4 linked regions of the Lonchura striata genome follow. The protein of the gene in region 1 binds, or shares a complex with, the protein of each later gene. Links are inferred from orthologs where the notes say so. Each region holds a gene or a part of one and is shown in the gene's direction. Other genes may lie near its edges. The genes, in order: NUP93, NUP188, NUP54 and NUP35.

The links.
Region 2: NUP93 (region 1) and NUP188 share a complex: the UniProt entries of both Homo sapiens proteins name them as parts of the nuclear pore complex. The link is inferred for Lonchura striata from reciprocal best matches to the Homo sapiens genes NUP93 and NUP188.
Region 3: NUP93 (region 1) and NUP54 share a complex: the UniProt entries of both Homo sapiens proteins name them as parts of the p62 complex. The link is inferred for Lonchura striata from reciprocal best matches to the Homo sapiens genes NUP93 and NUP54.
Region 4: the proteins of NUP93 (region 1) and NUP35 are in contact, whole or in part, in a crystal structure (PDB 7MW1), measured with the Homo sapiens proteins. The link is inferred for Lonchura striata from reciprocal best matches to the Homo sapiens genes NUP93 and NUP35. Residues at the interface, in NP_055484.3 of Homo sapiens: Tyr266, Tyr269, Asn402, Ala407, Asp408, Lys409, Thr410, Glu411, Tyr413, Tyr448, His452, Phe453, Val455, Asn456, Leu461; in NP_612142.2 of Homo sapiens: Ala88, Pro89, Pro90, Val91, Arg92, Ser93, Ile94, Tyr95.

What each region holds. Positions count from the first base shown.
Region 1 is NC_134615.1:15,614,005-15,621,217, forward strand, and holds the start of NUP93 (nuclear pore complex protein Nup93), read left to right. Parts: upstream 1-4,212; 5' UTR 4,213-4,318; intron 4,319-4,617; exon of another isoform or gene 4,618-4,740; intron 4,741-7,213. UniProt on the Homo sapiens protein: Plays a role in the nuclear pore complex (NPC) assembly and/or maintenance. May anchor nucleoporins, but not NUP153 and TPR, to the NPC. During renal development, regulates podocyte migration and proliferation through SMAD4 signaling.
Region 2 is NC_134624.1:250,889-257,967, reverse strand, and holds the start of NUP188 (nucleoporin NUP188), read left to right. Parts: upstream 1-4,076; 5' UTR 4,077-4,148; coding exon 4,149-4,174; intron 4,175-5,879; coding exon 5,880-5,934; intron 5,935-6,531; coding exon 6,532-6,605; intron 6,606-6,826; coding exon 6,827-6,911; intron 6,912-7,079. Other genes in the region: DOLK (dolichol kinase), read right to left, coding at 463-2,034. UniProt on the Homo sapiens protein: Component of the nuclear pore complex (NPC), a complex required for the trafficking across the nuclear envelope. Required for proper protein transport into the nucleus.
Region 3 is NC_134606.1:72,473,531-72,481,417, forward strand, and holds the start of NUP54 (nucleoporin p54), read left to right. Parts: upstream 1-4,872; 5' UTR 4,873-5,913; coding exon 5,914-6,187; intron 6,188-7,887. Other genes in the region: SCARB2 (lysosome membrane protein 2), read left to right, coding at 1-23, 603-761, 2,075-2,116. UniProt on the Homo sapiens protein: Component of the nuclear pore complex, a complex required for the trafficking across the nuclear membrane.
Region 4 is NC_134610.1:33,293,427-33,301,189, reverse strand, and holds the start of NUP35 (nucleoporin NUP35), read left to right. Parts: upstream 1-4,760; coding exon 4,761-4,902; intron 4,903-5,476; coding exon 5,477-5,647; intron 5,648-6,955; coding exon 6,956-7,083; intron 7,084-7,763. Other genes in the region: DUSP19 (dual specificity protein phosphatase 19), read left to right, coding at 2,890-3,111. UniProt on the Homo sapiens protein: Functions as a component of the nuclear pore complex (NPC).

The sequences.
Region 1 (7,213 bases):
TTTCTTGTTTTGTATTTTCTGTACCAGTGGTGAAACTGGATGGAAATAAAGGAGTTTTTCTGGAGGTACGAGTGCTGCTGTGGGGATGGGTTGGAGGCTGAGCATTTTTGCCGCTTGGGACACCTGTATGGGAATTGTCGAATTGTCGCTGCAGGGTGGGAGAGGGCTGCTCAGAAACACTCCTGTGTCCTTCCCTAAGTGGGCTCTGCACCTTCCTTGAGGGAGGAAAGGAGCTTCACAGGGGTGGATCTCATCCTACATGTGGGGCTGATGTGGGCATCTTTGAGGTGCTGGTCTCCCAGGGAGGACAGGTGACACACCCAGAGGTGTGGGCAAACAGTGGAAGGAGGGTCTCTAGTCCCCTCCAGCCTTTCCTTGGCTACATGGCAGGTGCCTCTGCACTATGTTAGGGGCTTCCTTTGGGTGAAAGATTTTGTAGGAGCAAGTGTGGTGGGTGGGAGGGTGATCTGTGCTGGCAAGATGCCTGCCCTGAGCTGCTGCTGGAGAGCATTTGGACAAATTCTAGTGGGGACAAAGCTTCCCTCCTCAAAAGCTTTGCAAGCCCCAATCCATTGCAGAGCAGATCCATCCCCAAAAGGACACTTTCCCTGCAGTCTCCCCATGCCGAACACCTACAGCTACACTGCTTGGCTCCTGCTGTAGGCAAAACTTCCGAGCACTTTTTTCCAGCTCGTTCTTGGGAAGCACCTTGCTTAAAGCTGCAAAGTCTTCCAGATGCAGGAGGGCAGGTAACAATAGCTGTGAATGCAGTGCTTAGCTGCCTGGATTTCGGGTGGCTGCTGGAATGGGGGAGGGGGGGCGGTGGGAAGATGCATACTAAGTGTTTTGCTTCCGAAAGTCTCTGCCAAATGGAGCAGCCACTTTTAAGGCAGATGCCTGCCCATACATGTCTCCTGGGTGTGCCCCACCATAGATGTAAGTTCCCAGCCATGCTGCCCTCACCCATTTTGTGTCTCTTCAGGCAATAGGACAGCTCTGCCTGGCACGAAAATCTCCTGCAGCACTTGGTGACAAGGCACCACGGACAAGATAAATTTAAAACCCAGGAAAATTTGTCCCTTGGGTACCCACATAGTCCTATCTGTTAGGCTGGGTGACACAAGGTGGGGTGTCTGCACAGTGGGAGCATGGCAATACCAGTTCCCAGGGATGTTTCAGGCATCCAGGATGATCCAGGCTCACCCTTTCCCCAAAGTCTGCCCAGCTTCAGCACATGGCTCCTCAGACCACTCAGCACCCAACTTGGCCAGTGAGAAAAGCAGCACTTAGCTCAACACCCATTTGCCTTTTAAATGTGTTGCCTTATTGCATCAGTGTGTCTTTGCCTCAGCAGCCTCCCAGCACTGCTTGCTGCAACAGAGGTGTAGTGATGGAAATGGGTTTTAAGGGTCTGCCCTGCCCTAAATATTTAAAAACAATCCCATGGGAAGACGCTTTGCTGGAAAAGAAGACTGGCATGGCTCTGCTGCTGGAGCCATATGAAACAGGGCTGCGACCCCGGCCACTGTAGCGGAGGGGCTGCAGACTGAGCCCCCGGGGCAGGCGCCCGCATCCTGCACCAGAAACAAAGCCGGGCGCGGATGGGGTTTCCCCGCACAGGAAGCGCCCCAGGCATCAACCGCTCCCCGGTTCCCAGCAGCGTGCCAGGGTAGGATGTGGGCACACATTTCTGCACCCTGCCGCTGCCAGCCTGCCCTGCCTGCTCCTGGTTCTGCCTGCGCGCCCGTCTGGCAGAGACCCCCAGCCTTGGTGCCTTTTCCAGCCTCCCCAGGATGGATTTGGGGCAAGGAAAGCCACAGGACCAGTGGAATGAGCTGGTCAGGGATGTATCCAGTGCCTGCCCTTGCCTGTAGCTGCTCTCAGTGAGGTGGGTGAGGGCTTTCTGGTCCCCTCAAGAGTATTTTCTATTAAAAAAAAAAAAAAAAAAAAGTACTTGTTGATGAAGCAGGAAGTGCTCTCAGCCTCTGGACAGCTCTGTATAGTGGGAGGGTGAGGGGAGCCTTTCTTGATCCACGAAGACGCTGATGTACTTTATTGAGCCCCGCCAAAAAAAGTCCAGCTCAGTCTGCTGAGGTGGTTTGAGGTGACCACGATCCCTTCTGGGCACCCACGGGAGCCAGGGCAAGGGGGTCCTGGGTGCACTCCCAGACGAACAGCCCTGCAGCTGCCCATGGGACCGCATTCAGTTCCGCTTTTTCTAGCTGTGTGTGAATCCCAGGGGGGTGATGGGTGTCCGTGACCCTGCGTGGCGCTGAGACGCACCATGTGCAGGAGGGACACGTGCCCTGTGCAGAAGGGATGTGCGCTCTGTGCAGAGGAGCGATGCACTGTGTGCAGAGCAGATGAGCACCCTGCGCACGCATGACAGGAACCTCTGTGCCGCGGGGACATCGCCCTGTGCCGAGGGGACAAGCGCTGTGCGCAGCGGGGACATGCACCCAGCGCACAGAGCAAACACACCTGGCGCAGAGGCGACAGGCACGTGTGCACAGGGGAAATAACACCCTGCCCTCAGGGCAGAGGGAAAATGCACCCAGTGCGAGAGGAAAATACAGTCATAGAATTGTTGGAAAGGTTGGAAAACCCCTCTAAGGTCATCAAGTCCAGCTGCTACCCCAGCGCTGCCAAGCCCACCCCTAAGCCAAGTGACACATCTACATTGTTTTTTTAAATCGCTCCAGGGGTGGTGACTCCACTACTTTCCTGGGCAGCCTGTTCCAGCGCTTGACAGCACTTTCACTGATGTGTTTTGACTAATATCCTGTTTAAAACCCCTGGCACAGAGATGAGATGCTATGCTCATAGGATGGGCACCCAGGATGGAGGGTACACGCATCTGATGTAGAGGGGACAGCACCCTGCGCATCCTGGGCAAGGCAAAGGCGCCCTGTGCGCCCAGTGTAGAGGGACGGGCACCCACAGAGGGGGCAGCACCCCTTGCCCCCCGTGCAGAGGACCCGGGTCCCTCCCCAGGGACGGCTCTCCCGAGCGGCTCCGCTCCGGGCGCCACCGAGCCCTTCCGCAGGGATCTGCTGCCACCTGCCTGCCCGCAGCCCCGCCGCCGCCCCGGCTCCCTGCCGGTCCCCGCCTCCCTCGGTCCCTGCCTCTGTCTCTCCTTTCCCGGCCCCTCCGGACGGCTGTTCCCCCGTCCCGCCCCGGAGGGCACCAGCGCCGGTCTCCGGGCGGACCAGGACTCTCCTCGCTCTGGAAAGATGCCCCGGGAGCCTGGAAGGGCTCAGGGAGAGCTGAGGTGGCACAGCCACCCTACCAGGGCGCCTATCCCATCAGTACACCCATCACACCAGGACAACCATCCCACCAAGGCATCTTTACTACCAGAGCATCCATTCCACCAGGGCATCCTCTCGGGGACAAGTGCTCCCCTCAAACTGAAGTGACGAGCAGAAATGTACCCTGACCCCCTGCACGCACTTGGCAATTAGGAGGAGTAGTTACAGCCGGTGCCAGAGCTGCCTCTGGCCTGCTGGGAATTTCTTTTTACATGGGAAAATTTGGAAATAGAGACAGTGTTAATGGGGAAATCTGTTCAGCTTTGAAGGTTTGATGGGTGATGTTTCAGAACAGCAGCAAAATCCAGGCTGTCTCTTACACAAGCAGGCTGTCGCCTTGTGGGTCCATGAAATTCCCAGTTCCCAGATTTTGCCCAACAAATCCTGTGTCATTGGCAATATCTGTTTTAGGGCCATCATGTGTATGTCCAAGATGGGACCAAACACAGCGAATCCCTATACATCCTCAGGGCACCATTATACAGGTGGTGGTGTGAGTACCTGCTGGCTGCGAGTTTGTTTGCTGGTGTATTTGGCCATGGGAGGCAAAATGGGGATGAATTCGTTATCCTCATTTTACCTCCCACAGAATCAGCTCACAGAATCAGCTCACAGACAGGGTTTGCCAGCAAGAGTCAGCGCTTACTAAGAAGGAAAAGGGGGAATAGAGAAACAGTCCCAGAGGATATTTCTGTCTGTATATCTCTTATTTCACTGATTTCGGCGCGGCGCACGCAGCGCGAGGAGGCGGAAGGCAGCCTCGAACCCGCGGTGTCCGGAGGCAGCCGCCCCCCCATTCGGTCCGCGCCCCCTCCGAGCGCCTCAATCAAGTTGTTCTCGCGAGGGAGCGGGAACGGGCGCGCTGCGGAGAGCGGCGGCTGGGCCAATAGGAGCACGGGAAGCCGGGACGCCCGGCGGCTCGGCCAATGGGAACGCGGGAAAGGGCGAGCGGGCAGCCAATGGAGGCGCGCGGCGCGGGCGCGGCGGGCGGCGCGGAGCGCGGCGAGGTGAGGGCGCCGCGCGGGCGGGCCGGGGTTCGGCGTCCTCCGCTTCTCTCCCCCGCTTCTTCCCCGCCTGCGGTGCTCGCTGCCTGCTTCCCCCGCACCCGCAGCTCCCGGCTGCTGCCCCCCGCCCATGGCTTCCTCTCCGGCCCGTGCAGGCCGCTGCTGCGGCGGGAGGCTGGCTGGGAGCGCTCCAGGCCTGCTCGCGGGCCGTGCCGGGGCTCCCCGGGGTCGCTGCCGTCAGTAACCCGCGCTGAGGCAGCGGGGCCGCTGTGGATGCGCGAGGAGGGCTCTGTTCTTCCGAGCTTTTGTGCGGGTCGGCAGTGCCAAGCCCGGCTGTAGAAGGGTGGTTTGGTGTTTAACCCAAGTGCAGCGTTGGTGCTTAAGGGAGCAGAAGTTGGTTGTCTGGGAAGGTTTCCGGAGAACGGGTTTGTGTATGATGTGTGTGGTTTGGTGTCTGTTTCGAGTTCTGTGCGTGGGGCTTGTTCTCTCCCACCCAGTGGGTTTGCAGGTTGGTTCCTAGGAATTCTTAGAGGGTTTGGAAGGGACTTCAAAGCTTATATAGTTCCACCTCCCGCTACCATGGGCAGAGACACTTTCTGCTGGACCAGGCTGGTCAAGGCATTATCCAACCTGGCATGATGAACACTGGCAGAGGTGGGACAGTCCCAGGGCAACGTGTGCCAGTGCCTCACCACCCTCACAGTAAAGAATGTCTTCCTAAATTTCCCCTCTTTTAATGTTTATTAGTCCTTGTCCATCACTACAGTTCTGACAAAGAGTCCCTCTCTGGTTTTGCTGTAGGACCCCTTCAGATACTGGAAGAGTTTATGAACAGTGAGTGGAAGGGCTTGAATTAAAGTCCAGGTGCAAAGAAGGGCTGCTTCTCTTCTGCAATTTGGTCATGTTGGTCTGGGAACAGTAGTTATGGCATGGAGAGTTAAGATGATAGTGAGAAAGAAATACCAGTTCCTATATGCTTTAGTGCTATTTCAGTTATGTTGTGTCATAAAAAATTTTCCTACTCCTTGGGGAAACTGACAGAAAAAGCTTAAAATTGCTTGGAAGAAAGCATGGGATTCTGTCATCTAAATCCATAAAGTTTCTGTGGTGCAGAAATTCAGGAAATTCAATGACAGGAAGTTCATTGAGGGGAGGATATGGGTTTTCATTTAAGGAGCTCAAAATCCTGAATGCTCTGTCTAATGAGGATCAGTTTGCCACCCTGTGCAAGTTCCTGCTGAGTTGGGTGCTTAAAATAAAGGCTAAGTGTTTGGAAAAGAGGGAACGTGGTAATATAGCAAAACTGCCAGCTGAGTCAGTTATTCAGGGCAATGGGAACTTAAGACCTTTATGAGGAATTGATGGCAGATGAAAGGGTGTTGACAAATGTGTGCTAGTGTATTTTGGTAGAAATCACTTCAAATGCCTACTCTTTAGGTCCACTTTAAATAATGAACACTGTAGAGAAGCATTGTGTGCCCTTCCTTGTCCTTTCTTACAGTGCAAGTAACCCAGTGTAACTGCCTTTAAAACTTTGAAAAAAAAATTTTTGTTCAACATACCTACTGTAAGGGTTCTCTGGGACCATAAGAAGATTGGACTTTTGCATATCTACCTACAAATGAGATGAAGAAGAAAATATGCAGGACTGAAAGCCTTTTTATAGGAGTCAGAGAAGCATTAATGGATCAGTGGTAGAAGAAACAATAGTATTGTTTCAAAGGTTGTTGTGTGATCTATTCAGGATTTTCCTGCATCTGCCTTTTGTTGCAGGGGGAAGAGGCTGTTGTACCAGATGGGGTGCCAAATAAAGCTTGAAGCTTTTAGATATTTTTAAAGTGGCCTATTGTGATTTATCTGGGTTTAGTGTAGTTAGGGTATGGAAGCTTTCCCTCTGTTAGGTTTGATAATCATTATTGTGTTTTATGGACAAGAGGATGGTGTGCTGAAAATGTGCAGCAGATTTGGGTTGTACAATTGTCCACCTGCTCTTTGATTATCATCTCAGTGTTTCTTAATCACTTCCTCTGTCTGTAACATGGAGATTATGTTGCTGACTTCTCTGAAATGTCTGGATGTCTGCTTATGCCACGTGCCATGCAAGAGCTGGGTATTATTGCTGCTGCTCAGACAGAATTCCCCAGGCCTGCAGAATGGACCTTTTACTTATTCATGTTTAGCTTAATAGACAGAAGCTGCTCCATTCTCTGTAGCATCCCAGGCTTGGAGCCTGTTGAAAAAGCACTTTTCACCTCAGATATTGGCTGTAGGAAGCAGAACACTGCTGGCTTGGTCTTACTACTTGTGCTCTTGTGTTTTCTTTCCACAAGAAGCTGATCCTGACTCATCAGACTGGGTCTCTTGAGCACTTTGAGGGTGGAGCCTCTTTGAGAAGCCAACACTGGATTTTTTCCTTTTTCTTTCCCATTTTGAATAATCTTTCTGCAACTTGTGGAGCTCTTGCTTTGTCAGCACTCTGAATGTAGTGAGTGAGGTTTTCCTTCTCCTGTGACATCTTCCTTTCTTTTTCCTAGAGCACTGGGAAAACCTAATTTTTTTACTGTTTCTCAAAGTTAATTGGTTAGTTGACACAAATCCTGTCAATGTGTGAAGTACAGTGAACACTTAGACGTGCACTGGAGTATTTCAGCTTTTGTATTTCTGAATCAAGTACAGTAAAATGTTCATCGTGGCTGTATTTGGAGTAGAATAGCTAGAGTTTTCTTCCTAAGATAGCACTGTAGTGCTCTTGAGGAGTTTTTAGGTAAGAAATAATCAACTATAATCAGTCTGAATAGACTTAAGAAACCTGTCATCTGTTCTGTTTTCTTTGTGGCTTAAGCTTAGTGAGTTTGTACAATATATAGTGCTTAAGTGTGGCTTTAAATGTTCAGGAAA
Region 2 (7,079 bases), on another chromosome or scaffold:
CTGGTTCCTGTGCCCCCCCCAATTATCAAACATGCTTTACATCGTGCTTATACAGACATGAGAGTTCACACATCAAACACAAGACAAGACTCAGTACAGAAAACAAGGTACAGTACAGAGGTAGCAACATCTGAGAGACTTGCTTGTTTATTTTTTCCCCTCTAATTGACTTACCTCTTCTTCCTCTGCTTCCCTTGTGCACCCAGAAGAAACTTAAATTGCATTATTAAACACAAGTGCTGCTTTTATCGGTTGTGTTTGTTGCTGTTAGAACATAAATCCGTCTATTTTCGACAGGAGTAAGAACAAGACCAAATCAAAACCTGTTTTAAAATAGTCTTTCTCATTTCTGTTCTCAACAGCTTTCTCTGCTGTACCAAAACATCACCTTTGAGCTTTCATTAAAGTGCATTTTCTAGTACCTTTCTCTAGGAAGGGAGAAAACTGTTCCTGGAAGTGCTTCTATGCCATGAGCATGATCTGGAGGTAGAGAGGCAACAGCAGATTATCAATTTGAGTAGTGTAAGCTTCCAAAAGAGAAACCAAACTCACAGATGCCAGAATCCAGGCATAGCTAGAGTTCAGATTCACACTGCTGTCAAAGATCAGAATGAGAGCCACAGCAATGATCTGAGCAAAAATAGCTGTCATTGTCCCTTCAAAGGTCTTCTTTGTTCCTGGCCATTTGATTTCCCCCATTGTACTGCCAAAAACAGAGGCAATGGTGTCTCCTACCCCTACTGCCAACACCCCAGAGTAGGGCACCAGTGCTCCTGCCCCAGACAAGGTGCCTTTAGGAGCACATGATCTGGGAAACAACCACACTGGGAGGGACATGCCGAGGAGGAGATAAATATGAGTCAAGATGAGAGGTCCACTGTCTCTTTCATCCAAGAAGAGAGAGAGCAAATGCCTCAGGGTTTGTCCAAAAGGTTTGATCCTGAAGTACCGGATGTACTCTAAGAAGATAAACACTGCCAGACACAGCACTGCAGCAACGTAGAGGAGCTGGCGGTCATAAATTAGTCCAGGAACATAAGTAGCTACAACAATGAAGTGGAAATATTTCCTGGTTATAGTCGAGGCCTGGTGTTTTTTAGATTCAGATGATCTCTTAGCATTCTGGTAGAAAACCACCCCACATGCTAAGGCAGCCAAGAAAGTCCAATACACAAGGAGGTAAAGTCTTGTCTGTGTCTGAAACAGAAACTGGAGCAGCCAGAACAAAGGGTTCCTCTGGATCAGTCGGTACAGCCACGGCATGATGACCCCTAAGCCTAACACTGCTGTCATCATGTGGAAAAACATGGAGGAGATCCATGTGCCTGAATCCATGAAAATGAAGAGCACGGTGAAAAAAAGACCAAGAAGAACAACTCCAACAACTGCTACCAGAAGGAAGAAGTCAGTGGGATCCCCTCTGCCCTCGATTACATTCAGTGAGCGTTTAATGAGCTGGTTGAGAACAAAACTTATACCTCCGAGAACCAGCAGCGCTTCCCCGGGAGTAAAACATCGAGGCAACAAGTACAGCAAGATCATACTGAGGTAGACGAAAATGAGCAGCACTTCCAGAACCTCTATCACTTCGGAGACAGTCAAGGAATGTTTCATGGTGTAGATAATTACGCTGCCAGCAACACCAGTCAGGATGCAAGTGTTGGTTGGCACAGGTTTGGTGATGCCAACCGCCAAGACGGACAGGAAGAGAGCGAGCAGCATTCCCGTGGAAGCCACCACGATGCCAAAGCGCTCGAAGTAGACGATGCCGGCAGCCCTGCACCTCTCCTTCATCACCACCCCCAGCAGGGGGATGACCATGCTGGCAGGCAGGAGGCCGCTGTTGGCTGCACCCCGGAACTGGAAGACAGCCCCGCCCTGCTGCAGCAGCCAGTCCCATTTGAACTGGGCGTAGAAGGCCTGGACGGCCAAAGCCACGGCGCACCAGGAGAAGCGGTCCCACACCACCGCGTGCACCGCCAGCACCGCGGTGAACACCAGCAGCGACTCCACCAGCACTGCCCTGTTCGACATGACTCCAGCCCAGCCTGCTCAGGCCTGCACAACTTCACCAGTCTCAGCTGCCTGTTAGGAAGAATTCCCTTCCATGCTACTGCAATTGCTATTAAAAAAAAAAAAAAGCAAGCAATTAAAGCAACTACTTGGACAGCTGAAGTGTTTGCACAGCTATTTGGTTCTTAAACTCAAACTCATAGTTAAGTGCTAATTGCTAAAGTCAACACACAGATGAATTAAAAAAAAAGTGAGGTGAGTAAATCCTGCAGTTCATCTTCTCTAAGTGAAGGCTCACAGCTCACTGACAGCTGCAAACCAAGCTTTGCTTTAAACGTTTGGACTGGAGGGTAAGCAGTTAAGATAATCAGCCACAGGCACATTTACTCTCTTAGGTTAAATCTCATCTTATCTCCCTCAAAGAATTGTGGGCATTGACAACACTGACAGCTGCACTGCAAACCAAGCTTTGCTTTAAACGTCTGGACTGGAGGGTAAGCAGTTAAAATATTCAGCAACAGCCACATTTACTCTGTTAGGTTAAATCTTATCTCCTTCAAAGAATTGTGGGCATTGACATCATTGTGCAATTCTCACCAGCATTTATTGCTTTCTGGTGACCCTGATTTCTCTATGGATACATCATTTGATAATGGGCCATATGTAAACCTCTACCATTACACTGGCCTCTCTTCTGGGGTCTTTGAAGTTCTCCTGTTCTTTATGTCTATTGGAAATATTATGGTTGATCCAGCTGTGAAAAGGGCTTACTTTATCCCTTCTGGACCACCCTTAAGCTGATTAGCAGCAAAGTCTTACTAAATTCTGCTCCCCCAGTCTCAATGCCAGTATCTACATCAGCTCCCTCATGGAAGACCAGAAGTTTATTTAAGGTTCTCTTTTGGGTTTTCAGCCAGTGTTGAATGGTGACACTAGATTACAAAGCTGACAAAGTAATAGCAATATTACTGAGAAATTATTACAGTTTGTACTGTAAAACTTTCTTAGCGTGTCTGCAGTGTTTAGATATTTATAACCTTGTACTGAAAACTTACTGATGGATTGCTTTTTGGCATCCTTATTCATATAGCCTGAAATACTTGATTGCCAAACACCTTCATTACATGCACTGTTGCTACACAGCTCCTTCAGGCCAAATGTCATTTCTTGTCATTGCAATTAATTTTTAAACAGGAGAAGAATTAATCATACAGTCAATAAACCAGAACTGGTCTGGGCAATATCTACCTCCAACCAATAACAGTTTTTGGGTTGTACTCCCTGCTGTTTCTGAGCACTGGGGAGGGGGAAGCCTAAGGCTTATTTGAGAAGAAGCAGAGTAAATGCCACCTGCCAGCCAAAGACAGAGTCCTCCTACTCAGTCTGGCAACCTTAAGGTTGCACCCCAGCTCCCGTATCGATGGCATTACAGCTTCCCCGCCGGGCTGCAAGAGTAGGTAGAAATTCACCCTGCCTGAGGTCTCTGATGGAGCGGCTCTGAATGCTTAGACCTGACAGTCTATATTTCACTAATGAGTTATTTCGTTTTCTTGTGCCTGCCGCAATCCCCTCCTCCGCACCTTCTTTCAGGTACTGTGAAGCTCCTCGGCACTGCCGCTCTCATCATCGAACGGGACCCACCGCCCTGCGGATCGAGCCGGACCCAGCGTTTTCTGCCCGTCTCCTGCTCCGCATGCCGGCTGCTCAGGGCGGGGAAGCTTCCCACTGACGTGCTGCCAAACATCCGGGCTGCAGCCCCTGATTGCTCCCTCTCTTCCCCACGACCCCGCAGCGTTGTGGACGCCCCTCAACCCGCGGGCTGCCCGCACCTGCTCGCCGCCGCCTCCTGTCCCCCTCAACCGCGACACCCACATCCCAGCCTCCGCTACTGGGAACGGCATCCGCCCGCGGGCGATGCCGGAGGCGCTCCCGGGTGGTTCCCGATTCCAGCGCGGATCTTGTGCTCCGGCCCGACCGCCCCGGGGAGCCCAGCCCGCACCCACCTCGCAGGGCGCCGCCATCTTGCCGCGCCGCCAGTCACATGACCCACGCGCGGGGGCGTGGCTTGTGCAGCACCACGTGACACCGGCGCGGCGGAGGGCGGCAGCCCTGGGTCACGTGACAGCGGAGCGAAGATGGCGGCGGGCGGGCTGAGCGCGAGGTGCGGGCCGGGGCCGCTCGGGCGGAGGGAGCGCGGGGGCGGCCTGGGAGGCCCCGGCTGTCGCTGCGGGCGGGCCGCGCTCCGCGGCACCGGGGGCCGGGCAGGGCTGTGGGGAGGAGGCGCAGCGCGGGGCCGGGAGGTTTTAACCGCGGCGGGGCGCGCGCCGGGCTGGCCCCGCCCCCGCCCGGCTGAGGGACCCTCAGTGAGCCCCGGCTCGGGCGCCGGAGCGAGCCGCGGCTGCGGCGCTTTTGTGGCGGGGCTCGGCTCGGCCCGGCCCGGCCCGGCCCTTCCCTACCGGGACCGGCTGCGCCTCCCGCGCCGCTCCCGTGCAAGTCAAAGTAAACGCGTGGAAATGAGTGATGGAAGTGATTTAATCAATCCCGAGTTCAGTGATCATCTTAGTTCAGTGGTTTCGTTTCTCCAGAGCACGTTTTTTGTCATTTATTATAACGCTTTTATGTTCTGGAGTTTCCCTAGTGTCTAATTTTTATTAAATTAATGATACCGCTGTTCGTTGTGGTCGTATACAGAGAGCTTTCCTCCCTTAGCTGTCTTGGAGCCTTATTAATGAGGGGACAACAAACCACGGTCTGTTTTATTCACAGGAGATTGTGAAGGAGTGAAAAGTAGGTGGGTTGGCGTTGCTAGGCTGGGGCTCAGAGCTGACAATAAGTAAAAAAATGTGTGCAAGGCAAATGAAGGCACTGATCTGACATGATCACTGGACCTGGGATTCATTGAATTGCCTCTTTCACATTGCTGTTCAGTTCTTGGTAAATACCTGGGTCTTTGGGTGCTCTGCGTGGGCTGGAGAGGCTCATGGCAGAGAAGTGCACCCAGCTATCGAGGAATGAGCAGGGAGGAATGATGCTGATGGGTGTGCTGGAAATAACAGGTGGTGTCATTCATTAAGTGTCACCACATGGCAGAAGTTGCAGATGACTTTCACTGCCACAGTGAGTTATTTTAATAATGTTATTCTAAAAATAAGGCAATGAGTGTTCTTGTGTAGACAGTCTTTGTGTGAGGAGTTGGGGTGTTTAAATCCTCATTTGTAATGTGTTGTTAGCAAATCATTGTTTGTCTAAGTGAAATACTGTTTCTGGCAAATATCTTTTCTCTGTGCTGTTGTAGGGAGACTTCTTTTAGAATGCATGTGCCAGGGTCAGGGTGTGATCTGTAATTTTTATAATGCAGGTTGGCTTTTCTACAGAGTTCTCATGAAGAAATGACAAGCTGAGTGTAAATGTTCTGGTGTCTGTGCGAAGATGGTGGAGTTTTTCACTTCATACAGTTTTATGCTCTGCCTAGACTGGAGGATGAAACTGCTGGAAAAATTTGTTTGAAGGAGAGCATTAAATGTAATAGTAGAATACTGCTTTATGCTTCTATTTTCTTCTTAGGAGCTTTAAATCAAATTAAAGTAAAAAAATCAAATTGAGCTGGTAATCTGATATCAATGTGAAGTTTTGATGTGAATTCACAGGTCTTGCTGTGTCAGTTGTCACCTCTCTGGGTTTTTCCTTGGTTTTTCTAGGACATTTGAAACTCATTAGCTGGAAGCTAATGTGCCTTAAATAATTTTTCTTGCATCGCAGTGTCATTCACTGTAAGTTAATTGCAGGTTTGAAAAGTGTAAGCTAGATGGAAGCCTGGAATAACATTCATCATTAAAATGCTCTCCACCTTTTCCTTGTGTTTGCAGGAGCAGCAGAGAATTATGGACAATTTTGCTGGGCAGATCAGCTTTAAGAGAACCAGTAAGTTATTCCCTGCAGAGCAGGTTTGGCCATCACTTATTGGGCTCCATGGCCAAACACATCATTTGTACACTCTTTGAATATTAGTGAAAATATTTTCTGCTGCCTTTCCTTCTTTCTCAGCATGATTTTTGTTCCTGTACCTCTGCTACTTGTTTATTCTTCTGTAAACTGCTGGTTTACAGCTGCTGCATGAACTGCCTGGAAGGGTGTATGGAAAAGGTGGTTCCTTTTCTGGAGTGGGCACAAGTGCTGCTGCCTGGTTTGCCCTGGGGTGTTCACGTGTGGTACAACTGCTGTCTTATATTGAGGGATGGAGCCTGTGCTTTCAGGAATTCGGCCAGAGGTTGAGAATCCAAATGTTTGTAAATCCAGTCCATTGCCTCCCTTTTCCTCACCCTCCCTAGGAACAGGCAGTGCAGCTCCCTGCCTGTTCAGTGCTGCATCTGGAATCACTCTGAGCCACAGACACCAGTCTTGTGTTCTTCCTGCCTCTTTGTGCTGGTGGAATTTCTTTGCTTTGCTGAAGTTTAACAGGTGTAATATTTGGTAATGCACTTTGAGGAGTCTGTTCAGTGGTGTTTGGTTCTGTTTTAGGCTCAGATTGCTGCAGAGTTGAACAAGCACTGGCAGAGGCTGTTAGAGGGACTGTCATACTACAAACCACCGAGGTACAGTCACTGCCTGATTTTAGAAATTAATCTCAAATGTGGAGTTTCCTAGTAAGTAAAGGAAGGTTACAGAATATTGTATGAAATATTGAAAGGTCACTGAGGAAGAAGCAAATGTTCAGTTTAGACTGATAAGAGTGGAGAACTTTAAAATTATGCCTATTTAATTTTTTCTTTGAGATTGCTGTATTTTTAATGACTAAAATTTCTTTTCACTTTAGTACGACTTCAGCAGAAAAAATTAAAGCTGATAAAGATGTAGCCGCTCCACTAAAAGAGTTGGGTCTGAGAGTCAGCAAGTTTTTGGTGAGTGAAGCTGCTCTTGGATTATTTTTTATCTCTGGAGTGAATTGTTACAGGATTCTGATACTGAATGACTTCATGATGTTGAATAGAGAGACACTTAAGGTCCTTTCAGTTCAAAGTAATCTAAAGGATGTTGAAGTACATCTGAGGCTCTAGGTCAAACTTCCA
Region 3 (7,887 bases), on another chromosome or scaffold:
TTCCAGTGATGTATATAAATGAGGTAAATAGTTCTGTGTCTTTCCAGCATTGTGGCATGTTAACTCTTGCAGAAATACCCTCTGAGCCAGCCAGAAAAGAAAATGCTGGTTTTTTGGTGTTTGTACAGCAATAGCTAGGAAGATGTTGCTGTTTCTTAACTGACACCCTCCTGCTGTTTATTGTAGTGCTAATTTCAGCCTTGCCAAACACTCTCAGACACTCCTTTTAAACTCAAAGGAGTTGGCCGTGAGGAAAAGGGGTGCTCAGACAGAGGCAGGACTTCAGGAGATCACACCTTTTTCTGACTCATCTGCTGTGAATATTCCTGTGCTGTGGTCAGATCACTGAATCAATTTGTGTTAGTTCCATTCCTAAACCAAAAATTAAAAGTCCATATTTTCCTTTGAAATGCCGACTAGGTGATCCCTCTGCTCCCCTGGAAGAATTTTGAAGGGGGAAGTATGTTAAGAAGCAGTGAAGCAGTGCTGGAGAGTTGTGGGAGTGTTGTTTCCCTGCCCTTCACAAAAGTGATCTTATAGGAAGCACATAAATAAATAAACTTTTTTTTTTTTAATTTCCTCTTCATCTCTCTCTGCTCCAGAGTGTTCTGATAGATGAAGCATCTGCCAGCAGACTCAGGCACGTCCTGCTGGAAGCCAGTGTTGTGACTGGGATCCCCTTTGTAATCATGGCTCTGGGGATTGTGTTTGGGATTGTTTTCATTGTGCTGGTGTGCAGGTCCCAGAGGATAACTGAAGAGGTAAGCAGCACTTGGATTTCACTTTGCTTGCTGTCCATCTGCCAGCATTTGATTTTGTTTTTGTTTTTTGTGGTTGATTTTACCTCTTGCTGTGTCTTTCTGCACGTGTTTTTATATTGTTTTTGTTGGGAATGACCTTTCTAGGGAGGGGAAGTTTTAATAGAATCAGAATAAACGCACCAAAGCAAAGGAGTGGAGTTAATCCGAGAAGCCTGGTAAGGCAGGTCTTGTCTCTGTGCCCAATTCCCTTGCCAACAGTAGTGAAATAAATCAGCCTGTCTAGAGGACCCTGAAGGATAAGATGCAAAAACTCCACCATATCTGAGGACAGATTTAGTTGGTGTCAGTGTTCTCAGCAGAAGAACTGCATTGTGCCAGTGGGTTATTTTCCAGAATCATAATGTGAATTTGTGGCCAAAGAACAGATGAATTGCACAGACAGCAACAGCAGGAAGTATTCTCCACTATTGTCTATTTACAATTCTATTGTAAATGTCTATTACAGTCTGTAAATCTGTTTATGAGCAGTTCTGTCCCAAGCTGACATGCTGGCATTAAGGTGCATGTCAGGGCGAAAGCTGATGCCAGCATTCCACCATAACAGGGTTCAGGTGGCACCAAGTGTGGAGCCTTTGATTAGAGGAATAGCCTGGGTTCTCTAGGAGGCTGTTTTGTCTTCGTAGTTGCTGTGGGCTTACTGTCTTTGGTGTTCCCTAAATGCTGTCCTACAATTTCCCTCTGTGCCTGGGGAGCCCCTCTGGATCAGTGGGATCCACTGCCATCCCATCCCTATGGGGCTGCACTTCAGTTTCCTGTGCAGGAGAGACTGGTTGCTTTTCCTTTTTTTCCTTTTCCCTTTCCCTTTCCTTCTGAGCCTGCCTGTGCTGTCAGCAGTTTAGCCAGGGTGTCAATCTGTCCCACTGCCCAAGGCCTGTCCTGGGAATTCCTGCCCCACCCTACATGCACAGCTTCTAACCAGCTCTCTTGGGGTCAAAGTGACAAAGGGACACCTGCATTCCATGCTTTTCCTGCTTTGCTTTTTGTTGCTCTTCCTGCAAACAGAGGTAATCCAGCAGTCTGCAGCTCTTCTTGTGATCCCTGGCCTTCCCTCCTGTGTCAGGGGCTGCCCAGGTCCCTGCCCTGGCTGCCACCAACCCTCTGGTGCCTCCTTAGTCAGCCCTGGCTCTCTTGGAGGGAGTTGTCCTTAGAAGGAGGAGCTTTTCCTTTCCCTGCTTGGAGTCTGGGCAGCCCAGCTTCCATGGTGGAAGGTCTCTCATGGTCACGTTTCACTTGCTGTGGTTTTGTTCTTGCAGAGCACAGAAGAAGAGAGGTCCCCGCTCATCAGGACATCTTAGTAGATTTTATTCCCCCTGTGAGCTTGGAGAATAAATGATTAGAGCTGACTTAACACCAAGTGTCCCCTCTGGAGCCACGCTCGTGTCCAGCGTCACCTTTGGTGGGACAGAGGTGGAAGGTAATCTGCGCTGTCAGCCAGGGAGAAGACTTTTCTCTCAGCTACATTACAACTTTCAAACTCCATTTGCAAACTGCTCCGGATCCCGCTTTTCTCAGCCCTGCCCTCTGTTCCTACCCGCACTGGCAGCCACAGAGGATCAGAACCACCTGATTCCCTACGGGAGCGACGCGGGCGGCCTTGCCAACGGCCCTGGGAGCGTGGACGGCCCTCTGGGAACGCAGCGGGCTCCTGGATGGCCCTGGGACAGGGACACAGGCTGCCCTGTCCACGATGTGTCCTCACTGCAGCGTGCTCCGAGCGTTTGTCACTGGTGTCCTTGCTCCTGTCACAGCACACGCGTGCGGCTGACCCGCCCCGGAGCTGCAACTCCATGTGGGACCGAGCCAGCCGGAGCTTCTCCATGCCCACCACTGCGGTGTTCCCACTCTGCTCGCTAGGCAGGCTTTTATCCTTCGGGTGTGGGCTTTGTTCTGCAGCTTAAGGCACCACAGCTCAGCGGTGTTCCTGGCCTGGAGGGGACACGGCTGGTGGGTGGTGTTGTGGGGGTTTGCTGGGAATGCAGACTTGGCATGTTTGGGATGAGAGCACCCCTCCGTGGTATGGACAGGGTCCTGAGAACTCCTGACACTTTTTTTACTTGTCAAGCAGAAGCTTGTGGCAAAAGTCACCAAGGTTCCTCCCCCCTCCCCAATTAAAAGGATATTCTCATCGAGGAATGTTTCCATCGGGTAGTGAAATGTGTTTTTGAAGTGTGTAACTGTCTTCTAAAGAGGGGCATTGGGGTTTGCATCACTTGGGCTTGGTTTGGAGTCTTTTTCCTGGCTGCTGCTTTGGTTTCTTCCCTGTGAGCGTGGGGAGGCCCATGAATGGATTCTGCAGAGCAGCTGCGCCTGGATCCCTGCAAGTGTCCAAGGCCCAGATGGAAGGGGCTTGGAGCAGCCTGGGATCGTGGAAGGTGGCCCTGCCCAAGTGTGAAAACCAGAATTCACTGCTTAGAATTTTTCAAAGTTTAATAATAATAGGATAAAACAAGGACAGTGTTTCCAGCGCTGGGGTGATCCTGGCCAAAGAATACCCTGCTGTTTTACAGACAGTGTTTCTGATGTTGTGGGAGCTCCTTTGTCTGACTGCTTATCCCCATGACATCCTGGGTGTCAGGTCAATATATTTTATTTCTTCTCAAGTCTCCATCCTGCTTGATAAGTGTTTAGTGTGTCCTCCTTAAATTTAACATAGTATTCTCTAATTGTCCTCTGGTGCTCTGGTTTGTGTCATGATTATCACTTGGACAGGCTGGTCAGTGGATAGCCTTACACTGCTTTTAGTTACACAAAAGCCTCTTTATTTTTTTACATCTTATGTTTTGCTAAGGTCTGTAACACAGTACATTCATCACACTATTATTTCCATAAGTGATACAGAGATATTATATTGATTACACCACTATTTCTATAAGCATCACAGGGCATGCTTAAACTGATATATTGTATTATATTAACAGTACTATTCTAAATATTTATAATCACGACATGCATAAGCTACTACATAGATGTGAAAGCCAGTATTATCTGGTCATTTTTCACCCATGGCAGGCAGAGGAGCAAGATGGGCTTTAAGGTGCCTTTGAAATCAAGCCCTTCTGCGATTCTGTGACAGTGTTGTCACCCCAAATCTTGTTTTCTGGGAATAACCCTGGGAAAACGCTCTGGAATCTGCCCATGCTCTGCCTTTCCCAGCATCGTGGGATGCTCTGGGTGCAGCTGCCACAGGAATGTGCCCGGAGGGAGACTCCGTGATCTCCGTGGCCAGCTGTTCCCTCATGGACGTGGGGTGCCTGTGGGAGCCGTCACTGCCAAGTTCCGCCCGCCAGCTCCTACAACGGGCACACCCGAAGGAACGGCGGCACTGCGGTCCCAGTGCTGGGGGAAATCCAGGGAATGCCCCCGATCCTCGGGGAAGAGCTGCCTGTCCTTGTTCCCCTTTATTTCCCTGCGTCCCGTGGGACGTTGAGCCTCTCCCGGCGCCCCCGTCCCGCCGCCCGCAGTGGTACAGCCCGCTGGCGCGCGCCGATTGCGTCACCGCGAGTCGCCTGCGCCACCCGGAAGCGCTTTGGCGGCGGCGGCGGAAAAGCGGCGCGTGCGGCCGGTTTTGTTTGTGGCCGGACCCGCCGCGGGGGCTCGTACGCGCCTCCCGCGGGGGCCTCCGCTCGCCGTCCCACGATCGGCCCCATGGCCTTCAACTTCAGCGCCACGGCGGGAGCCGGGGCCGCCAACCCGACCGGTGAGCGCGGGGGGGCGCGGGGCGCGGAGGGGCGGGGCGGGGGGAACCGAGCAGCGGGCAGCGCGTGCCCCCCCCCCTCTCCTGGCCAATGAGAGCCGCGGCGGCCGGCAGCGCGTGCCCCCCCGCCAATGAGAACAGCGGGCGCCTCAGAGGGCCGCGCGTGCCCCCCGGCCAATGGGCAATCGCGGCGGCGGCCCGCGCGTGTCCCCCTCGTGCTGCTCCCCCCGCCAATGGGAACCGCTGAGGCTAGCAGCGCGTGCCCCCCCGCCAATGGGGATCGCGGCCCCCTCAGGGACCCGCGCGTTCCCCCCCGTCGATGAGAATGACGGCGGCGGCGGCCCGCTCGTGCCCTGCGGCCAATGGGAGCGGCGGTGGCCGGCAGCGCGTGCCCCCCGGCCAATGGGAGCCGCGGCCGCCTCAGAGGCGCCGTCCCGCGCCTCGCGCGGACCCCGGCGGGTCCGGGAGTCGCTCTTGAGGCGCTTGTGAAGAGGTGGCTCGGATCAGCATTTTGCTTGCAATAAATTCGTCGTTTGGACGAGATGCCCTTGGAAGTTCATTTTTTAGCAAGGTAAAAGACGGGTTGACTTGTAAAGTTAGGCTTTTCCCCTTCTGCTTTTGTCACTGTCAGTCGTGGTGAAGTGTAGGACAGAACTTTCCTTGCCCTCACTTAGTGAAATAATTAATTGTTGGCTCCAAACAAGTCCTTGGGACAGGACTCATCTTTGCTCTAGTCAGCCTGAATTTTACTGTCTCTTTTACACACACTCTTTCTGGCCCCATCTGAAAGTAAAACATCACCTTGTGCTGCCTGTACACTGTGCCAAGGTTTGTGACACTCACAGACCAATATCAGAGGGAAATCTGGGATCACACATCAGGACTTCCCGTTGTCTGTCCAGCATGAACCTGCTTCAGCTGCTTCCAAGGGCTGCTGGGCGTATCAGTAAATCCAGCAAGGCTGAGGTGGGCAGGTTTTGGCAATAGAATTTGGATAAGTCTGCCCTGGAGTAACTGAGGCTTGTGTGGTCCAGCCTCAGCTGCTGGAGCTGAGTTTCATGGTTATTCTGCTGTCACGTATCTGAGTGTATTATCTGTGTGAAGATGGTTTACTCTTGCCTTCCTGATATTTTAGTAATTTTGCTACTATCTGTTACACTTAAGATGAATGCAGCTGCACTGAGCAGTCTTAGGCTGTTGAAAATTACTGTTAATGTGAATATTGAATCACAAAGATATGGCTTTGAAATAAGGTGGGGAAATGCTACTGCTTTATGCACTGTACAATTGAAAAATAATGTCTTTACAGCAGCAGTGTGTGGAGCTTTTAACTGTCCTCCTTGTGTCCAACAACTAATATTTAATGCCACTTAATACCTTTTACTCTTGTCTGTAACTATGCCTGTCTTGCCCATGGGGATGGAAAAATGCTTCAGCTTTTCTTTCCTGGGACCTGCCTTTCACTCAGAACTAATGTTGCCTTGCTCTTTTTCTGCTTCCCGCTCGTCAGGATTTGGTGGGCTTGAAACTGCAAACTCCACTGCCAGTGGGTTTAATTTTGGGGGTTTCGGATTAACTGCTAATCCCGCGGTGAATTTTAATATTGGGAATTTCGGTGTTTCCACTACCTCAACTCCACCTTTCAATTTTGGTAACAGTCTGGCGAGCGCAGGTAGATAATGCCTAAATACGTGTTGTGTGGTAAATGTTACCAGCAGGGGTCCAAGAATTACATCCCTCACTGGGGATACGTGTCCACACCTAATCCTCATATCCAGTGAAGACTGGCCATTAAAGCTCTGGAAATGGAATGGGTTGGAGAGCCACAGACATGGAGGGGTTTTGCCTGTTAAATTCTTGAGGAATAGCTTTTGAGGAAAAATAACCCCATAGCCAAAAGTCTCTGGAATGGGAATGAATCCAGGTGATCCCGAGCAATCCCAGCTTTCCCCTGTTTCCTGACATGAGATTCTTGGACTACTGCGGTCGTGTTTTCATCTTCCCCCGTGTCTCCTCATCAGCCTTGCATTGGCTGTCATGAACGCACCACACCTCAATAGTTTCTGTGCAGAAACGAATTGTATACGACCGGCACGAAGTCAGAGCCCAGCTGTGACCTGTTCCCCAAAGCCCTGCATCCCAAAACGGCCCTGCCCCAGCTCTCCGGGGACGCTCGTGCTCCAGGGAACCCTGCACGACATGGGTGCACAGTGGGGGGGTGGCTAAGGAAGCCCTTTGTGGCCCCATGGAGATCCAGCAGATCTGAGCCATCAGCTGATGTCATTTCACTTCAAATATTTCCCATTCCCTATAAAAACACCGGACCAGATGGATTTCTAGTGCTCGTGTTGGTGTGGAATTAGCCCAGGGGGTCCCGTTGCTGCTGCTCGTATAGGAATTCCGTCCATCCCACAGTGTCATCGCTCTCTGTGTCAGCGCCTCTCATCTGTTCTGTGCACTCCAGCAGTCCCATTGCGTTTATTTGCTGTGAACACTCTTGGGCTGGATTTCTTTGCCTTCATTTGAGCTGCTCCAGAAGAGACCGTGGGTAGTCCATTTGATATTTAATTTGATACTTTGGTATTCACTCAGGTCCCTTTTCAAGAAAGGATGACGAAATTTGCAGTGGGTACAAAGGTACCTAAAAATGGTGTTGTCTGCTGGTGCTCCTGCCAGGGTGTCCCGCTCGCTGGCAGGACTGAAACATGGGTGTTACAGGGAACAATTTCTTGTGCCCACTCACATCAAGATTTTTGCTGAGTGGACATAAAATCAGCTTTGATTTATGCTTTTCATTTTGTTTGTGGACAGGAGGACTGTGAGTGTAGTAGATCTAAGGAACCTTGGTTTTTTTTTTTGCTATTGACATGTCAGTTAGGAGAGACAGCATCTTTGTGACAAACCCTTCGTAGCAGACTGTCTTTTGTTGTTTGAGCATGTGTAAAAGCAGCGTGAAACACAGAGACCTTGGTTTCCCGGGCAGGTCAGTGCTCCGCAGGCTGCACCTTGGGCCAGTGCCATTGGCACCACTGGAGCTCAGGTGCTCACTTAGATCCTCTCCTGCTGGCTAGTGACTTCTTTTGCTGAAAACCTGTGGAAGGCAGACTGCTTTTGCATCCATCTACCTATACTAGTGGTTGAATCTCCAAATGAGGTGTAATGGGGAGGATCATTGGGAAACAAGGCTTTAAAGAAAAGGACCCTGTAGAATTTTACCTGTAAATTTTGCCTGTAAGCACAGCAACTGTGTGTACCTGGCCTCAGGCTTTGTTTTTTTTCCTGAGGTTAGGACTGTTTGTAAAGTTCGCAAAACATCAGGTTGTTTATTACACACTTAGCAGTGACATTGACCAGAAGTATTCCTGAGAAGGA
Region 4 (7,763 bases), on another chromosome or scaffold:
CAGTTTCCAGTTCATTTCTAAATGAAAGTTGCCATTCACAACTGCACTATTCTGCTTTCTGCCTCAGGTGTTTATATCTCAGTTACTAGTTTGTAGGTTAAGGAGTTTACAGGAAAACTTTTATCACAACATTAGTAGTTTTCTGGTGGAAGAGGTGGATGAAAGGAATGTATTTGGTGGAATAGTTCTCCAGAATCAGTTCAAAAAGCACATGATAGTGGTATATAGACAGATCTCTAGGTGGTTTGAATTACTTTATTTGTTTTGTCAAAATAGTGTTAAAAGAGCTTATGATAAATTGTGTCATGAAGTGCTCTTCTGTTTAAGTAACCACAGAGACACTACTGTTTCATCTCCTAAAATGGGTGAGGAAGAGATGTTCACTGGTGATAGAGCATGATATATGAGAAATTATTTCTAGAACATGGCTAACTCCATGAAGGAAGTATGAGAGCATGTGAATTTGAGGATGCAAGTGAAGCCTGCACTATTCTCTAAGTCATTGCCAGCTGGGTACTTGTAACAGGATTCACTTTTCTAAAACTGTAATGGCTCAAGTCTCTAGACAGCATGGTACAAATTCTGATACTGATCAGAGCTCAACTTTTCTTCTAGGCTCCAACTTGGCAGGCAGGTTTTCCATGACATGTTCAGTGATCTATGTCAAGTCATAATACTGTGAATGAGGGATACTTTTTTCATATGTTTAATATCTAATAATAAAACTTCTGAAATCTTGTGCTTCCAAAGAGAAAAGCTTTGCTTATTCATGAACATCGCTCCTTATTGGTCCACCTGTCTTTCCTAAGGAAAAGCCTCAGTTTCACTGCAAAGTAGAATGGATCTATAAGGAATTACATTAGCCTTTGACTTCACAAAAAGCTTTGTGCTTCTTTTAAATTTCTTCCCTTGATGAGGCTTTTCGCCCACTGTGTACAACCATTGTATAATCACCTTTTCTGCTGGTGGAAGGTGATGTTTCTCTCTCCATAAAAATTTTTTAAAACCCAACTTGGTCTTGACTCTTACATGATTCTTGCAAGTCCACAGACCATTTCTGGGCAGGAAAACTTTTATCAGCATCAGAGCAAGGAGTTCTTGGTAAATAGAGATTTATTTCCTGTTTGTCATCTGTTTCTTACTTTTATTCTGCATTCACAGCTAATACAAAACTAGTTAAGAATAATATGCCAAATTTTTGTATGAATTGTGAACAATGGACTTTGGCAAGGGAAGAGAAACATTCTCAGTATTAAAGTTGGATTAATATTATGGCCCAGATTCATTAATGTTCAATAATTTTCAGGATTCATGGATACCACTATATAATTTTTGGCAGTGTAAAACAAACCAGTTATTTAAAAAGATACATCAGACTTAAATGTGAAAGGGAAATAAAGCATGAACAGTACAAAGGAAAATAAAAAATAATTAAGAGTGCAATTTCCAGCAGGCAGTGCACAGGAGGTGTGATTTCCATTGCAAGGAAGGGTGGTGTCATTATTTGCCATGCTGGGATGCGGGAGCTTAGATTGGTTCCTAGCTCTGTCATAATGTTGTGCCTCATTCTTCTAGTCTCAGCTTGGAATTTCTCCAGCAAGGATAATAATACTGCATTTCATACTTCTTTGCCTTGTTATTTACACTGGAAGATTTTTGGAACAGGAACCATTTTCTGGTCTGTGTGTCTGTTAAAATGCCAGATAATTGTAGCTCCTAAATCTGTAACATAAACTCTTAAGTTCCTGGAAAGTAACCCTGATGCTTAGAAGATCTTTTTGTCTCTGGGTCAAATTGCCATTAAGTAACTTGTACCTGTTAAGGGCAGACAGAAGAGGCTAGAATAGTTCTGTTGAGCCTCAAGTATCTGATCACATCATGTCATGTTTCAGTATTTTCATTCAGAATATGGAAGTGCTGAGGGTTTGGTGGTTTCTTTTTGTGTCCAAGGGGCTTTTCCAGATCATAGTGTGACATACAAACATGACTGCCTCACGAAGCCGGGGCTTTGCAAACATTGCTTAAGACATGCTAGATTGTCTAGCTGTCTTTGCGTTGATTTGGGCTTGTTATTTCTTAACAAAACTTGCAGTGTTAAAAAGAGACATACAGGTGTCTCAAATGTAGTGAGGGAAATGTTTAAGTAGGATAAAACCCATTAATTTAATATATAATTTAGGGTGAGCCCGAATTCAAACCCCAGAAGAAGCATTTGTGAGTTTATGGGAAGTTGAGTAGTTTTGGATTTTGCACCCTAGTTCCCAATTAAGGGTCCGTAGATGTACCAGTGGTGTAATGGGAAGGGAGAGATCTGTTGCAAATCACACAATGTCTTTTCTAATTTTCCTGTGCATGATCCCTTTTACCCAGAATCTTCCCTGCAGCGTACACAAGAAACATGCAACTGGGACTACAAGACATTCTAAAATCTGCCTCTGTGCCCAGCTGTTTGCTGCTTTGTTATGTTTTTAACCTTTAACAAGATACTTTCAAATTCCTTTCCATATTGAAAATAAAATCTATTTCAAAATTGTCACTCAATTAGATCAGATACTTTAGTATCCCAGTTGTCTATGATTTGTTCTTTACATTAACAGGCTGCTGTAAAGCCTCAGGAAGAAAGACAGAGGATGTGTTTTAGTTCTCGGGTATGAATTAAGTTTGAGGAATTTGGTAATAATAAAGCATTTTGGGGTAGAAAAAAATCTTAATTTCATGCTTATATCATGCTTATATCTTTGTTTGGATTTACTTATATGTGTAAATATTTGCTTCGAGCTCAACAAGGAGCCTTTTAATAAGTCTTACAAGACTTATGTAGTTTCTTACACTTTTAATGTACCTAATGAATGTAATGTACCTAACTTACGTTTCATTTCTTTCTTGGAGGATGGTGTGGTGCTGGTTCACTGCAATGCAGGAGTCTCCCGTGCAGCGGCTGTAGTCATTGGTTTTCTAATGAATTCAGAAAGACTGAGCTTTGCCAGAGCCTTTTCCTTGGTGAAAAATGCAAGGCCTGCAGCTTGTCCAAATCCTGGCTTCATGGAGCAGCTTCACAAGTACCAAGAACAGATTTTAAAGGCAAATGGAAGCATAAACAATCATGACTGATCCAAAGGGAAAAGCAAAACAATCTGTTTTGACTATACAGGAATAGGTGTTGGATGTTCTTTGTCCTGTCATTTTGAAATCCCCTTTCACATGTGCATTTTCAAGTCTTTATGTATTTTTTTTTCTTACCCTCCTTTGACCATGTTTTTTCCAGAATGTCATCAAAAGGCCAAATGGTGTTGTACTGACTTCAGAGAAGTTTTGCCTAAAACCAGAGCACTAATAAAAGATACAGCTCAGTTTACCTTGAAATATTAGAAAACAATAGAATGATTGTTTACTTTCTGAACTATCAGAAAATGCAGGCAATAGAGAAAGGAAGTAAAATAACTGAGGTAAGTTTCTTTCTTTCCAAATCTGTGCATTCCTAGATGGTTGTAAAATAGGGATAATAAAATGTTCATATAATGAAGTACCTTGATACTGGATTTTAAAATTATATTGCAGCTGTAGATGATATTATTGAATTTTGTGGGAGAGCCAGCCATTAATTTTTTTAAATTAAAACTATGGTCTTTTGAGGATGCTCAAAATGCACAGCATGCATTAATGCTCTGTATATTCCTATTGTTTCTCATCTAGTAGTGATTTGAAGTGCACTAATATGATGAGTCCAGTCTTGGAACTAGCGTTTTTGGTTTTTTTCCTGTACATCATTTCAGTAGAGATACAAAAAATGTTCATACTGGTCTGTCTCTGCTCATGCTACTGTCTTTTCTTCACATCTGGTCCTCACATGCTCTCCCCTCACTCCACTCCACAACATGTGTAAAGAACAGACATCATAGGGTATGTAATTTTGATCCTCCTGAGAGATCCCAGGCTGAAATTACTCTCTTAATATGCTTTTTTAAAAAATCTATAAGATTTTAATAGTATTTTGTGGTATTCATGCCATCTCTTAATGATTTGATATATTAATATGCAACAAAATAAAGAGACCGCTGTGTTTGGATTAATTGTGTGCTAAAGTGATTTAAAAGGTTTGGTTTCAAGATTGGCGTTCTGTCCTTGTGCCAGCAATTTGCACAGTAGCACATCACTGTGTTTGAACCACGGCTTCTCTTGTTCTCAGTATGAATTACTCAAGAACATTAGTGACAGGACAAGGGATGGGAATGGATTCAGAAATAAGGAGGAGGTTGAGATTAGATTATTTACACTGAGGGAGGTCCGGGCACAGGCTGCCCAGAGCAGCTATGGCTGCTCCATCCCTGGAAGTGTCCAGGGCCACACTGGACAGGGCTAACTGGGATAGTGGAAAGCGTTTCTGCCCATGGCAGGGGGTGGAGCTGGATGAGCTCTACGATTCCATGCTTCCATGATTCCATGCTAAACGTTAATGCGGGATCAGGCAGCCGCGCTGCATGTGGGCGTTGTCGGCGGGCACCGGCCCCGTGTGGGCGGCGGGGGAGCAGCTCCCGGCCGCGCCCCGGCGGCCCGGGCACCGACCGCACCTTTCCCCGGGAGGCCGCTCCGAGCTGTCCGCCCGCGGGAGCAGCCCGCGACAGCCCCGGTAACGCTGGCCGCGGTTCCCTCGGCTGCTGGCGACCCGCCCCTCCCTCAGGGACCGTTTGCCAAGGAGCCATGAGGGGCCCGGCCGGCACAAGCCCACGCCAGGCCGCGACACCCTCCCGCCCCGCGCCAACATGTCACGGGCCGGGTCGGAAGTGACGGCGGCAGGAAGCTCCGTCCCGTTTGAAAGTGCCAGGCGGAGCCGCCGCCGCCGCCGCCTCTTTCCCGCCATCCGGGCCGACATGGCCGCCTTCGCCGTGGAGCTGCTGCCCGCAGGTGAGCCGGGCCCGGCGCTCCCCGGCTTTGTGGGCGCTCCTGTGAGGGGAGTGGGGCCGGGGATGCTGCGGAGCTGGAGCGGGAGACGGCGCCGGGCTGACGCGAAAGGGGAGCGGGGTTAAATCGATCGGCTGCCACTTGTAATTGCGAAAAACCGTGATAAACTCGGCTTACCTGTAAAACCGCCTTTGATCTCATCAGTCCATACAAATATCTCAGAGGCGGGTGCCGGTGGTGCCCAGCGACAGGGCGAGGAGTAATGGTCATAAACCAAAACAATAAGGAATTCTACCTCAGGCGTGAGGAAGAACGTCTTTACACTGAGGCTGGCCGAGCACTGGAACAGGCTGCCCAGAGTCTCCCTTTCTGGAGACATTCCAGACTCACCTGGAGACGTTTCTGTGTACCTGCTCTGGGTGACCCTGCCTTGGCAGAGGGTTGGAGTAGATGATCTCCAGGGGTCCCTTCCAACGCTAATGGTTCTGGGATTCTGTGATCTTAATCACTTCCTGTATCTTGTATGTTAGAAAAAGCATTCACTTGTCTTGTTCATATTTTAAAATTTTGTTTTCAGGAGCTGAACCAATGACTCTTGGCTCCCCGACATCTCCAAAACAAGGAACTAGTGCTCAATTTCTCCCTGGGTTTTTGATGGGTGACTTACCTGCACCAGTGACTCCGCAGCCACGTGCTTTATATGGCCCTTCAGTTGGTGTCATGGAAACAAGGTCTCCACTACTTGCAGGTCAGAATTCGTTAAATGTTGGAAAATTGTCCTGAAAGCAAAAAATTGGTTTATCTCATTGTTCTACATGACTGTTGCAGACTTGAATCCTTATAGTTTTATATCTTTCTGTTAGCAAACTACACTGATTAAGTGGTGAACTCAGTGTATTGAATTATAATAAATGTTCTAAATGTGGCAGTTTTGGCATCAAGAAAAGTTTGTTTTACAGGGAAGGTAATAAACCTCTCCTAATATAGAATCAGTTTATGTGACTCTTTACATGTCAGGTACACATACATTGATGCTGAAAACAGAGATACTTATGAAATTGAAAGTAATCACATGAATTTCACCAAATTGTTTTTTGAAGTGTTTATTATAGCCTCAGAGTATCAATTTTAGGAAAAGGGGAGCCAGTAAGATACTAACACAGACTTCCCAAAGGGAGAGATCAAGTACATCACTTAAACTGCAGACCTTGATGGGAGAGTGCTTTACATAATGCACGTTATTCCATGCAACAATAGCAGTTCTTGTATGTGTTAAACAGTACAGAGTGGAGTCTTGAAGCTCAGAATTTAGCACTGGAAAAAGCTTGGTTTCCAAATGTTTTGCAAGTGAAAACTTGATGCAAACTACTTTTTTTTTTTTTTACCCTGGGGTAAATCCACACAAAGGGATAAGATACGTCAAGTTCCTTCAAGAAGTTTAATTCTCTGTTATACTGGAAGTTCCAAAGTTTACAAAATGAGAGGGCAGCTGGTTTAACTTCCTCCTGTCTATATGCAAGCTAGTCCCTGCTCTCAAAGCTTACATTTTTATTTAATATGAAATTAGATGAGAAGCCAAGGAATTTGGACAGTGGGAATGTGACAGTAATGTGCAATGTCTCTGTGCTTTTGGTATGGCTCTTTAACATATAGGATATTTCAATTTTTAAAAATCTTGCTTTTGCGTCTCTACTATAGGCAAGTTAGTCTCTGAAACAATTAAAATAGATTTCTAAGCCTGGCTTAAAATTGAAAGATACAGCCATGCTCAGAACTTCAGAGAAAGAACATTTAAACAGTGAATATTAATAAGAGGTCTGAAAGTTATAAATAGGCTGCTGCTTGGAACACCTGTGATGCTCCTACCTAGAACATTCAAACTTGAACATTTGGTAGGACAGATGGCTCTGCAAACCTCCAGTGAAACAATCAACAGTCTCAACAGCAACCAGCATGAGAGCATGGCAGAATTTATTATTGAAGTTTCCAGAACAAGTAGCACCAAAGCAAAATGACAGGTTTTGTCATGCTCTTCTTTTGTTCCTTTGAATTGCAGGAGGGTCTCCCCCACAACCAGTAGTCCCTTCGCATAAGGATAAAGGTGGTGCTCCACCAGTTAGAAGCATATATGATGAGTTATCTAGTCCTGGGCTTGGATCAACACCTCTGTCCTCAAGAAGAACAGTAAGTGTCTTTGGCACTGGCCTGTTCTTAGCAGAAGATGTGCCTCAGTGAATTCTCAAACTTAGTTGCATAAACTGCTGTAGCAAAATGAGTGATGACCCTACAGATCATGCCGTTGCTTAGTCTGGGTTGTTCGTTGTGCCTGTTCCTGTTTAAACAAGAGCTGTGGTCATGAAGCAAATTCCTGTTATTGCCAGTTTTCAATTCAGTAGGAAATGAAAAATGCAAGTGATGCTTCGTACATATAAATTCAGCTTTGTTTGTCAGCTTTTCACTTTCTTCTAAGTTTATTTGGCAGCTGATTGCCAGAAGGACCCTTCCACAATTTTAAAGGAGGTTGTAGCAAGGTGGATGTTGGTCTCTTCTCCCAGGTAACAAGTGAGAGGACAAAAGGAAATGGCCTCTGAAGAAGTTTAGATTGGATATCAGGAAAAATCTTTTCACTGAAAGGGTGGTCAGGCATTGGAACAGGCCACCCAGGGAAGTGTTAGAATCGCCATCCTTGAAAGTGTTCAAAAATGTGTGGACATGGTTTAGTGGTCAAGATGGCAGTGTTAGGTTAATGGTTGGACTCAATGATCTTGGGGATCTTTTCCAACCTTAATAATTCTGGGTTTCTGTGATTATCTTTTTGAAGACAATAGAGGTGCTTATGGAAACAGAAGGAATTTCCTTCTGAG